2 linked regions of the Caenorhabditis elegans genome follow. The protein of the gene in region 1 purifies or fractionates together with the protein of each later gene. This does not show direct contact. Each region holds a gene or a part of one and is shown in the gene's direction. Other genes may lie near its edges.

Region 1 (4,494 bases):
TGAAGTTAAACAATTTCAATTTGACACTTTTTCATAACAATGAAAAAATGGGAAAAGGGTTCAAAAAATCAATAAATGTTCAACTTACCTCTAAATATTCGAGTGCAGATTTAACAATTAATGCATTCATTTTTGTCTAGTTGTGTTGTCTGGAATAATGAAGAATAAAGTGAAGAATAATATGAAATCAGATGATGCTTGAGAGACTGAGAGAAATAAAGAGAAGCGTGTTGGTTAAAATGTTCCTTGGCGCAGAGAATCGATACGTGAAAGCGCACTAATCGACGGGCAATTGCACGCTTTTTTAGGAAAACAACCTTTTTGTTAAATTTTATAAAAAGAATTTAAAATTTGTTTTTTCAGAAATTATTTTTGTGAAAAAAAACTATTTAGCCTGTAAGAAAGTAGTATTTATAAAGAGGCGAAATGAGAGAGTAGATTAGAAAAAGAATTCGAAAGAAGATAAGAATCGAAAAAGGTGTTGAGTGAAGTGAAAAAAGAAAGGAAAAATGAATTAATTGTATTTGTTGTGATATTTGTGATTTTGCTATTAATTTATGTACCTCAAAATGAATTTGGCAAACTTTTAAACGAAAAGTATTCGAATTAGAGAAAAACTTTTGAGAAAAAGTGGGAAAAAACTAGAAAAATAACAATGGAACAGATCTTTTCGTTAAAAAAAATTTAATTTCCATTTCTCCCTTCCAGCTGGTTATTGCAAACGCTGCGAGACCCAACGTCAGACATACGCTTATGTGCCTTTAATACCGTAGTACACCCGATAAGCGCGAGAGTTTATTTTATTTATCAAAACTTTTTTTTCAACATTTTTCATCAGAATATCTTGATTTTATTTGATATTTCCTCGATTTTTTGTATAAATATACTAAAATAACAAAAGACTAACAAAATTTGCATTCCTCTACGCTTAAAATTTACTTAACCAACGAAATAATTTGAGATAAACGAGAAAATGTGTAAAATATTTAGGAGTTTAATATTATATTTATTTTGAACCACCGAGAAATGTTTGATACATTTTTGAGAAGTCTTAATACGAAATTCGTTTATTTTGGCACATATTGAGCCTATACAAGCGCTAAACCCAGAACCGTTCGTCCTCCTTCAAATAACTTTCTCTCAGCTCAAATTAAACTGCCCGTAATTTTTCCCATCCTGCCTTTTTCCAAACCCATACCACGTTTTCCTGTTCAATTTGCACCTCGTGTCTGTAAAATTAGTTATCTACCCGTAGCCTACATAGAGAATTTATCAAGGTACAAAGTCCAGACGGACGGACGGGCGGCGCATGGGAGGCCACAACAGCCAGGTTTTCTTGTTGTGTTCGTCTCGTCTCCTCCTCTCATCACTTATTATCTTGTGTGTTGGTGACCTACACTATATCTATCGATTGTGTATTTGTTTTCTAGTTTGATTATTTCTTTTTGGATTTTAACATTTTGAACTTTCTTTCTTCAGCTTTTAAGAATTTTTTTTTGTGAACTTTGTAGTATATATTTTTTTCTTTTCTGATCGGCCACGTTTCTTTTTTTTAAATGTTTCTCTAAATTCTTGGTTTTTCAATGTAGAAATTATTTAAATTCATTTCATTTTTTGATCCGTTGCTTTTGTTCTGCTGTCGTTTCAAATAGAGTAAGTCTGGTTTAATATTCTCAAAAATCAAGAAAGGGTGTAAAATTATTCTGCTGTGTTCTTTCAAAGGAGAGGGAAAATACTTTGTCCCCTTCTGTCCGTAGGCAATGATGAAATGATAAGAGTACACGTAGCGAACCAAATTTGATTCCATATTTGTTTTTTGTTCTCTTTCGTACGTTAAATTATTTTCTTGAACGCATTTTTTGTTCTTTGGAGATTTATTCTCAAAAATAAACCACCTCCAAAATTAAATCTGATTTCTTTTCAGAAGATGCTCCGCGCAGTTAGCACTTCGTTCGGGACTGCTCGTGCCGCTTCGGCAGTCGCCAAGAAAAATATGCCAAATATTGTACTTGTCGATGCAGTTCGTACTCCATTTGTCGTTTCTGGAACTGTTTTCAAGGATTTAATGGCTGTTGACTTACAGAAAGAAGCTATCAAGGGTTTGTATAGAAATTTGTAAATAAGGAAAATTAATTTTTCATTTTTCAGCACTAGTGGAGAAGACAAAGCTGCCATATGAACAACTCGATCACATTATTTGTGGAACAGTTATTCAAGAATGCAAGACCAGTAACATTGCTAGAGAAGCTGCTCTTCTCGCTGGTGTTCCAGATAAGATCCCAGCTCACACTGTCACTCTTGCATGCATCTCATCAAATGTCGCAATGACCACTGGAATGGGAATGCTCGCCACTGGAAATGCAAATGCAATCATCGCCGGAGGAGTCGAATTGTTGTCTGATGTGCCAATTCGTTACAATCGAAACGCCAGAAAGGCTATGTTGGGAATGAATAAAGCAAAAGATGTTCCATCGAAGTTGAAGATTGGAGGACAAATTGTCAAAAATTTGCTTTCTCCTGAACTGCCAGCGGTCGCTGAGTTCTCAACTGGTGAGACAATGGGACACAGTGGAGACAGACTTGCTGCCGCGTTCAATGTTTCTAGAAGGTAATTTTCCTTAAATTTCTGGGAAATTAATTAATGTCTACTTATTTCTATTTTCAGAGAACAAGACGAATTCGCAATCCGCTCCCACACTCTTGCTTCGGAAGCAGCTAAGAATGGAAAATTCACTGATGTTGTTCCAGTATTCTTAGACGGAAAAAAGCCAAAGACAATCAAAGAGGACAACGGAATTCGTGTATCCACTCTTGAGAAGCTGTCATCTCTGAAACCAGCATTTGTGAAGCCACACGGAACTGTGACTGCTGCCAACGCATCTTACTTGACCGATGGTGCTTCTGCTGCTCTTATCATGACTGAGGAGTATGCTCTTGCCAACGGATACAAGCCAAAAGCCTACTTGAGAGACTATTTGTATGTTGCACAGGTAAGATTATAATAGTTTTGTTGTTTTTAGTAGCTTTCGAGCGTTTTTAATTTCCAATATATTTCAGGATCCAAAAGATCAGCTCCTGCTCTCTCCAGCCTACGTCATTCCAAAGCTTCTGGACAAGGCAGGACTCACTCTTAAGGATGTTGATGTATTTGAGATTCACGAAGCTTTTGCCGGACAAGTCCTTGCCAATTTGAACGCGATGGACAGTGATTACTTCTGCAAAGAGCAGATGAAACGATCTGGTAAATTCGGAAGAGTTCCAATGGACAAGCTCAACCTGTGGGGAGGATCTTTGTCAATCGGACATCCATTCGGAGCCACTGGTGTGAGACTTGCAACTCATTCAGCTCACAGACTGAAGGAAGAGAAGGGACAGTACGCTGTAATTGCAGCCTGTGCTGCTGGAGGTCACGGAGTTGGAATGCTCATTGAGGCTTATGGAAAGTAAACTCGAGGTTACTTTAAACCCACTTTTCTGTATGATAAATTAGTGATTGTCCCAACTATTTATTCTTCCCATTTCTGCCATTTTCCCGTATTTCTCTTTTTAAATGTTTATGTGTATAGATTGTAGCGGTTGTCGTGCCTTTTCGTCTCCTCGTAATTCTACTGGTCATTTCTGAACACTTTCTTTTTCCTTTTCGATATTCTGTCAAATATCACCATCATTGCCATCACCAAAAAGGAAGTGGTACTAACTTTACTGAATAGTTAAAAGTTTATAAAATATTTTTAAAAAAACACAACAAATTAAAAAATATTTAACTAAAGTTTCTTCGATACAAGTAAGAAAATGTCGTCATGTGTAATGAATTTATATCCTTGTTCGGCAGTTGTCGCCATACCATTTGCCTGAAATCATATGGTTGGGAGAATAATTTGGAACATTTTGAAATTTTTTGCTCTTGTTGGTGGATCTTTTTTTTCAAAGAATAATATTTTAAAACACTTTTTTCAAAAATACAATTTACCTTGAGACTTTCAATTATATGTGCTTGTTTCAGCCGATGACATCGAAATGTTTTTCCTCCAAAATTGTAGGTCGTTGCATCGAGAACACCACCTTGAATCAGAATACCACCTTCATCAATAAGGGAACACGCACTTCGTACCGCCCGGAAATATGCTTCAAGAGTTTCACATGAATACTCTAGACAGAAGACAGTTGATACAACTTGAAATTTGTCTGGAACTTGAACTTGCTCATTTTCTTTCCAGACAATTGATTGAACAACCGGAGATTCATGGACGTTCACCTGAAATTAAACATTTGATAACATGCAAAACTTTGACGCGAAAATTTGCGCTTTTTGGCATAAAATTAGCTACCCGGTCTCGACACGACAAATTTTCGATAGGTGGGAAAGGATGTGCGCCTTTAAGAGGTACTCTAGTTTCTAACCTATCGGACATTTTTTGTTTCGAGACCGGGAATTCCCGGGAACCGAGTTCACCGGATTGTTGCGAAAAAATGACAAAACAACTGAAATATCTA
Region 2 (8,100 bases), on another chromosome or scaffold:
TCATTTTTGCCGTTCCGTTGCCGATTTCTTGCCGGAATTTTCGAAAAAAAAATTTAAATTTGGCAGAATATAGGCAATATGGGTGTAAAATTAATGAAAACTTTGAGAAAAAAAAATGAAATTTTCTATAAAATAAGTGTTAAAACTTCAGTATTTTTAAAACATTTTAATTTTCCGTCCGTTTTGCCTATCTGTTGCCGATTTCTTGCCGGAATTTCCAAAAAAAAATTTCAATTTTGGCCTAAATGGACAATACGATTTTCATTTAAAAAGTTTAATTTCCTACTTGATCTTCATAATTTTACCCTACATATTGCCTATATTCGGGGATATTGTAATTTTTGCCGATCTGTTGCCGGAATTTTTGAAAAATTTCAAATTTGGCCGAATATAAGGAATACAAAATCCACTCACAGTGTAATATTTTAGCTTACACTAGATCCAAATGATCACTGATTCGCTAAACAGCTTAATACTATTAAAACATGATCACATGATTAATGTAATACAAATTGTACTGTTCAATCACTAATTTGACCACCGATGACGTCACTCGCCCCGCGTGGTGTCTGGAGATGTTTGGAATAACATAAAATGGTCAACACTTCACAATTTGATGAACTATTGTCTTTGAACGGAATTTTATGACTCATTTTAAAAGAATAATGAAAAACAAAATTTGGATCTATGGAAAAAAAATTTTAAAAATTTATTTTTTTTTGAAACATGACACTAAATTTTATTGCGAAATTGAATTTTTGCTTATTGCCTATTTTTGTCAAAAATCCTGAATTGACTTGAAATTCGGCCTACATTCAGCCCAAAATGAAACATTAACAAAACGAAATTGTATGAAAAGTTCAAAAAAAAATTACACAAAATATAGAATAAAAAGAATAAAATTTTGAAAATTTTTGGAAACATTTTTTTTTTTGTCATAATTTTTTCAAAATTTCGAAAATTTGAAAACTAACGTGTTTACGCTAAATTTTTGTACAAATTTGAATTTTTCATCCAATTTCCGTCAATTTGACACCCATATTGTCAATATTTGACCAAATTTGAAAAAAATCGATATTTTCTGCAACAGACCGGCAAAAAATGGGCAAAAGTGAAATATAGGCTATTTGGAGGTTAAATAGATGGAAATTTAGTGGATAACTATTTTTTTTAAAGTCGATTGTTTTTTAAAAATTTTCAGAGATTTTCAAATGTGATAAAGTAGGCACGTAGGCAGGCTTGTACAAGGGTACTAGGCTGCACTAGGTAGTGAGGGGAATAGGTAGGCAGGCAAGCATAAAATAGGCACGTTTGTTGACATTGGATAGGTAGGCAGGCAAGAAGTAGGCATATAAGTAGGCACTAGATAGACAAACAGAACGTAGGCGGCTGTAATGTAGCCATGCACGTGTAGGTTGATAACCATGAGGCAAATGGACCAGAAGACATAGCTAGGCATAATATAGGCACTAGACAGGCAGGTATATGAATAGGTAGCCATGAGGTAGGCATATAGGATGTAGGTATATTGTCATAGGGGTACTCATCATGATTTTTCCAACAAAAAGTGTTCCTTATGAAGCTTCTAAAAATGAACATTTATTAAAAATAAAAATAAATTATTTTTAAAAAAATCACGGAAAAAAATATGACATTTTCAAAAGTTGAAAACAAAAATAAATAATGACCTCACGTGACCCTCCAACGTTGACCTTTGATTTGTCATCAAAACCAAAAACAACAAATCAATCAGTTTTCAATCGATAATCAATAACTTCACAGCAAATATCAAAAATTGTTGGACGAAGCAAGCGGAGCGAGATGAACACTTTTCAATCTTTCGCAATCGGTAAGTCTGAGTAATATTTCAGAACCACATAAAATCAATATTTTCAGTACTTCTTCTCATGTTCTGCAAGCTACATGCCTTCAACAGCACCACTCTTGACCCACCGGACACCACTGATTCTGTAAAAGGTATGTGTTGCCTAAGTGCCTGCCTAGTACCTATTTGTCAGCGGGTTTTTTTGAGCTCAATTGGTGAATGCTTTCTTTGACGCCATTGATTTCTCCAAACAAGACTATGAATTTTTTCTAGAAAAATTATCGATTTTTGAAGGGAAATTATTGATTTTTCAAGAAAAATTATCGATTTTTGAAGGGAAATTATTGATTTTTCAAAAATGATTATTGATTTTTGAAGGGAAATTATTGATTTTTCAAGAAAAATTATCGATTTTTGAAGGGAAATTATTGATTTTTCAAGAAAAATTATCGATTTTTGAAGGGAAATTATTGATTTTTCAAAAATGATTATCGATTTTTTCACGTGAGAATAAATAACGTTTTAAGTTACATGTGTAATGATAATTATTTTAATATTTGCAGAATCTACAAAACCAACGGACTACCTCGAGCACATCACCATCATAGCTCACATTGCTAACGGAATTACCCTGCAAGCTGGATTAATGAATGGATCAATTCCGATTAATGAAGTTGTCGGTGAGATGCTTAATTTAGGATCTGCCAATGTTTCCGATCTAATCAATTATAAACCTGATAAGATCTTGGAGTTGATCAAGAAGTTGAAAGAGGTCCGACAGAGTGCTGCTGCTAATAATGAGATCAGTCCTATGGAAAAACGAGCGTTGGAGTGGGAGGACTATCGTCTCAGGTCCGAATTTATTGGTGATGTGACTAATTTGACTGGAAGTGTGGAATACTTCAATGCAGTTGGAAACTTTCAAAGAGATTTCAATTCTTCTTTGTTTGAAAGTACAGCAGAGAAGTTTGATGGATTTAATGAACACATTACAAGTATCTTGAAATCAAGCTTAAAGGATACATCTTTTCCAATCACTGGGTCGGCAAAATTGAAAGTATTCAATGAGACATTCCAATCATTGAAAGTCCTTCTCACAGAAATCAAGACACTCAATCGAACATCATTTGATATCCTTCACAATGGACCCAATATATTCAAGTCATTGGATACAGTGATCAAACTCTCGGCTCTTCGTCAGAATTACATTGCATTGTACTCGAAAAAAGTAGAAGATGCAATTAAAACTAATATTGAACTGGTATCCGCATTGAGTGCAGTTAACGAAGCATCTAGAAGTGATATGATGACTGTCTCGAAGCTTTCCGATCGTCTGGTTTCAATTCCTTCAAGAAAGTACACTTCTGGATTCTCACTTGAATTAATTGGATTGGAACAACTCACAGATGATGTAAAAAATCAGTGGTTCTTTGAGATGACAAATGCAACTGAAGTGGATGGACAAAGTATTCGGAAAAGCTTGAAACCAATATTCTCTGCTTTTGAAACTTTGCAAGCTGTCAACAAGAAGTTGAAGGTCACTTTTCCAGAGCGTACAAAATTCCAACAATTTAAGGATGAGCCGTACTTTATTCCAGTTAATGCTAATTCTTACATTGATGTTGTGAAAAAATATGAGGGTTGTAACGAAAACGGACATTCAGACGACTATCGTAAAAAAGGAGTTGAATTCATGAACAACGTGGAAACTGTTAGTGATTGGTTGACTGCCTTTGACAATTTCACCCAAACGCTTGACTTGGATCAGTTGGAGAAGGACGTTGCTGCATTTGTAGAATCCTTGAATTTTACTGATATCAATAATGAGACACAATCGAGGATGGAAGTGATCGAAATTGTGAAGAACATAAGAAGTAACAATATAAGTTTGATAAAGATTCAGGAAAGTGTGAAAGGTATCGAGACTCAGTTTAATGCTGTTCGATTGGATAGTCTTCGAAATTCAGTGTTTCCAAAAGTAACAGATGAATTCAAGAAAGACGAAGACTTCCAAAAAGTTATCAATGCCGAGAATAATGTTAACAGCTGTCTTCAGAATGTTAAAAACGAATCTCTGGTGATCTCTGAAGCTATTAAGACAATTCAGAAGTTGAGAGTATTGGATGATAATCTATTGGAAAGTGTTCGACAAACTGCAACATCAGTAGCTCAGTTTTCCACTGTTCTTCCAACAGTTGGATCAATTCCTGATGCAATGAAGAAAGGTGTTAAGAATGTGACACTTCAGCTGAATGAGATGTCTCTGAAGTCATTGAATCAATCCGATGGAATTGGTATTTCTGCAAGTGCTCTTCGAAATGTTTTTAGCCTTTTGGATCTAGAATCTTCAATTAATCAGCTGAAAAGTGTCGATGGAATTGTAAAAGTCGGAATTGACAAGTCTAGTAACAAATCTGAACTGCAAAGTCTCTGGGGGAGCCACAATGATGACATTATCTCATTGGAAGGTGCAATTGCAAAGTCAAAAGTTTTCAAGTCGAAGATTGATGTATCAAAAGCCAAAACACTATCCAGCTACAGTACACCTTTGCAGAACTTGGCTTCAATTCCTGATGTTAAGATTGATGCAGTAAAGAAGTCGAAAGCACTGGAGATATTGATTAGTTCACTTGTTGCATCCTCTGTAAAAAGAAGAAAGAAAAGAGACACTAAATCTGATCTACTTGCCGCCAAAGCCACTCTCGACAAGATCGCCGTGTTGGATTTGCAGTTCTCAAGTCATTCAACACAATTTCAGAATGTTCCATCAGCATTCCAGTCGTTTGATAACTTTTTGCAATTGTTCTTTGCTTCTCAACAGCCAATCAGTGTTCCTCCTCCAAATCCTCAGAGTAATAGTGGTGGTGTCAATACAGGAGGTACTGGCAATGGTACAAGTAGTGGTGGTCCGAGTGGTAATACTGGTACTGGACCGACTGTTGGTGTAACAGCTGCTGTTGTTGGATCAAGCACTGTGAGCACTGTTAGCGATGAGTCAAGTGATTTTCCGATTTGAGTTGTTAAATTAATTTCATAGCAAAACTCAAATGTTCTAAGAAGTGTTTTAACAAACAATTATATATACTGCGACACTAATAATGTTATATTTCAGACTTTCCGTTGTCATTCCTGTGGTCTTAATTCTTGTTGCTCTTGTGATTGGTGGAATAGTTTTTATTTGGTATCGTAAAAGAGAGGAGAAGCGTAAAGAGGAAGAAGCTGAAGAGGAACGAAAGAGAGAGGAAGAGAAACTTATTGCTGAAAGGAAAAGGATAGAAGAAGTGGAGGAACAGCGGAAGAGAGAAGCGGAAGATAAAGAGAAGATTGAACAGCTGAATGCAAAAGTTCGAGAGAAAGAGGAGAGATCCGAGGCCCGACGTAAGCAGAAAGAGAAGGATGATGAGGAAGAAAAGAGGTTGTATGAAGAGAAAGAGAAGGAACAGAGGAAAAAGCAGATTAAAGGAATCGAAAAATGGACCAAGAGTATGGATTTCAAAGATAATCATAAAACGGCCAAATTCTACAATACGACGATCGAAAATGTGAATGTGACAACGATTGATAAAGATCATATCACTGAGTCGTATGCATACTTGCCCAAGAATAAGCACAGGTTTTCCTTATATTTTTATTTATAGTCTCTTTATATCCTTTTTTCCAGATACCCCACTCTACCATGTAAGCCATCAACCGCTGTCAAGGTGATTGTCAATGGCCAGCGAGTCCCAATTCATGCCAACTGGGTTCCGACACCTGGTCATCCACACCGCTTCATTGTTACTCAGGTATGAGCACTTAGCGCACGTACTTACCAAGATTTTTGCATGTTGGCACGTAGGGTAGGCATACGAAAAACACTATGCAAGTTTCAAATTTCTGAAAAGCGGCAATTGTTGATTTCACAGAACGAACGGAACCTCCTAAAAAGGTGCCCATTACTCTAAATCATCGATTTTGATTTTTCATAATTTCGGTAATTATTGGTTTTTGTAAAAATATATATTGTTTCAGGGACCGCTGAAGAATACACGTTATGATTTTTGGATGATGCTGACGCAATACGACGTTGAACATATTGTAATGCTTGGTCAAAACATGGAGAATTTGATTGTCAAGTGTGACTACTACATTCCACCACACATTTCTGAGCCGTTCAAAATCGGACGGTTCAATATCAAGATTACAGATGGGAAAAGTATTTTGAATAAGAAAATATATCAAAGAACACTGGAAGTTGTCGATTCGACGTGAGTTTCTCCTTTTTTTCTAAAATGAAAATGCGATTTTTAGTGGAAAACTTGCGACGAGAACTGTGATGCATTATCAATATGCAGGATGGACTGCACGTGGAGTTCCAAAGAGTCATGCTGAAATGTTTGACCTGATGGAGATGTTGAAGAAAAGCGAGGTTGGTTTTTTGTTGAATAAAATCGATAATTTTGAATTTTTTAGTTTATTGGACTAAATTTGAAACTTATGGAATAATGAAAGGTTACAAAAACAAAAAAAAATATTCATAAAAAATCGATAATTTCGAAAAAAATCTGCCTCTTCCTATATTAAATCCCGAAATTGCATTCTTGACAGAAATAAAAAATGAGGGCAACTTTTCGACACGTGAGTGTCCGACAAAAATGTACAAACTTTGAGCTTTAATAACTTGGCTCATAGCTGGCGCTTTTGCATTCACTAAGTGCGAATGACTCAAAAATAGTTGCCCCACCATGGTCATTATTGAGGGGATTGGTTTTGGGAAGGGTAGCACACTGATTTGTGCGGGTTTCTGGAGACTGCTAAAATTGAATATTTTCTTTGTACTGAAGAGTTTTATGTTTTTCAGTCCCAAATCTTCAGTTTTTCTGACATTTGGTTCCAATTTGTGCGCAAGAGAGAGCTTCATATTTCCAATTTTTTGAAACTATTTTGAAAAAAATTGGCCCACTTTCCAAAATGTAGGCCATCATTCAATTTTTGCAAAATCAAAAAGATTGATTAAACGTGAAAAACTTTTCTACCACTCTCTCTCTTTCTCTATTTTTGGGGATGAATTCGATAATTTTCATTTTTTATTTTTATAACGTGAGGAGAATTTAATCCTAAAGATTTTTCGAGATTTTGAATGTTTCTCTAATCGCATTGAGGACCGCACTTTTCGGTCATTTTGCCCACTTTAAACCTCACTTCCAGCAGAACAGGCTGGAGGCTGGAGGCCTGCAATGCTATTGTTTTTCACTCAAACCCAAAAACCAGGGATGAAGGCCTTCCTCTTATTCTTAAAAACTTTAGGCCTTTTCTATCCCTACTCCCAGTAGAGCAGGCTGGAGGCCTTCTATGAGACGTATGTTTCTATAACTACGTCTGTTTTTGGAAAGGTCAGATAATACGGAGGGCCGCAGGCCCGAATACACAAAGAAGTGTTGGAGATTCGTCAAGCCTATTCTTAGCCCAATAATTCAGTTCGAGTTTCGCAAGCCCAAATAGACGCAGAAGCGTTGGACAACTTTTAGGCCTATTCTGAGCCCAATAATTCATGTTGAGGGCCGTAGGCCCAAAAATACTGAGAAGCGATGGACAGCTGTTGAGCCTATTCTTAGCTAAATAATTCAGGTTCAGGGCCGCAGGCCCGAATACTCATAGAAGCGTTGGACAACTGTTAAGCTTATTTTGAGCCCAATAATTCACAATGAGGGCCGCAGGCCCAAATACATGTAGAAACAGTAGGGAACCGTTAAGTGCGATTTGAAAAGTGGAAATTAATTTGGCCGGTTCAACTCAACACTTGGCTAAACATTAATAAAGCGAATTATTCTTGAGTTACTCTACGCCGAGCCAAACTGCGAAGCCTAGCAAATCTCCGATTTGCTAGTCAATAGTAAATGAAATTTGGTGAAATCAGTTTCAAAAATTGATATGACTCGGTATCCACCGATATTCAATAAAATTGATTTTCAGAAGCCAATCGTGGTGCAATGCCCGAACGGAATCGGAAGATCCATGGCCTTCATTGGAACCGAGTGTCTTGCCCGTCAAGTTGAAGCCGATCCGACAATCGAACTGACTGAAGCTCTGAAACACATGCGCGAGCATCGTTGGAACGGAATTCAGAAGAATTTTCAGCTGTACTGGATGACACTGGGAACCATGTACCGTCTTATCAAGGAATATGGATTTGACATGAAGATTTACGATCAACAAATGGCAATATTTTCTGATGTAGTCGATCGGTTGGTGGCACTGGACAAAAACAGTGTAGACGCTTGAAATTGAACTTTTTT

Evidence for each region.
Region 2: the proteins of hadb-1 (region 1) and Y80D3A.8 fractionate together in Caenorhabditis elegans (co-fractionation; one large-scale study listed by BioGRID). This does not show direct contact.

What each region holds. Positions count from the first base shown.
Region 1 is NC_003281.10:8,685,597-8,690,090, reverse strand, and holds hadb-1 (putative 3-ketoacyl-CoA thiolase), read left to right. Parts: upstream 1-1,924; 5' UTR 1,925-1,927; coding exon 1,928-2,099; intron 2,100-2,148; coding exon 2,149-2,608; intron 2,609-2,665; coding exon 2,666-2,990; intron 2,991-3,057; coding exon 3,058-3,447; 3' UTR 3,448-3,732; downstream 3,733-4,494. Other genes in the region: B0303.4 (transmembrane and ubiquitin-like domain-containing family 1 protein), read right to left, coding at 89-130; anmt-1 (Nicotinamide N-methyltransferase), read right to left, coding at 3,765-3,851, 3,971-4,255. UniProt on the Caenorhabditis elegans protein: Mitochondrial enzyme that catalyzes reactions of the mitochondrial beta-oxidation pathway.
Region 2 is NC_003283.11:18,938,820-18,946,919, forward strand, and holds the start of Y80D3A.8 (Protein-tyrosine-phosphatase), read left to right. Parts: upstream 1-1,821; coding exon 1,822-1,849; intron 1,850-1,896; coding exon 1,897-1,977; intron 1,978-2,388; coding exon 2,389-4,819; intron 4,820-4,937; coding exon 4,938-5,438; intron 5,439-5,486; coding exon 5,487-5,610; intron 5,611-5,836; coding exon 5,837-6,072; intron 6,073-6,115; coding exon 6,116-6,233; intron 6,234-7,777; coding exon 7,778-8,086; 3' UTR 8,087-8,100.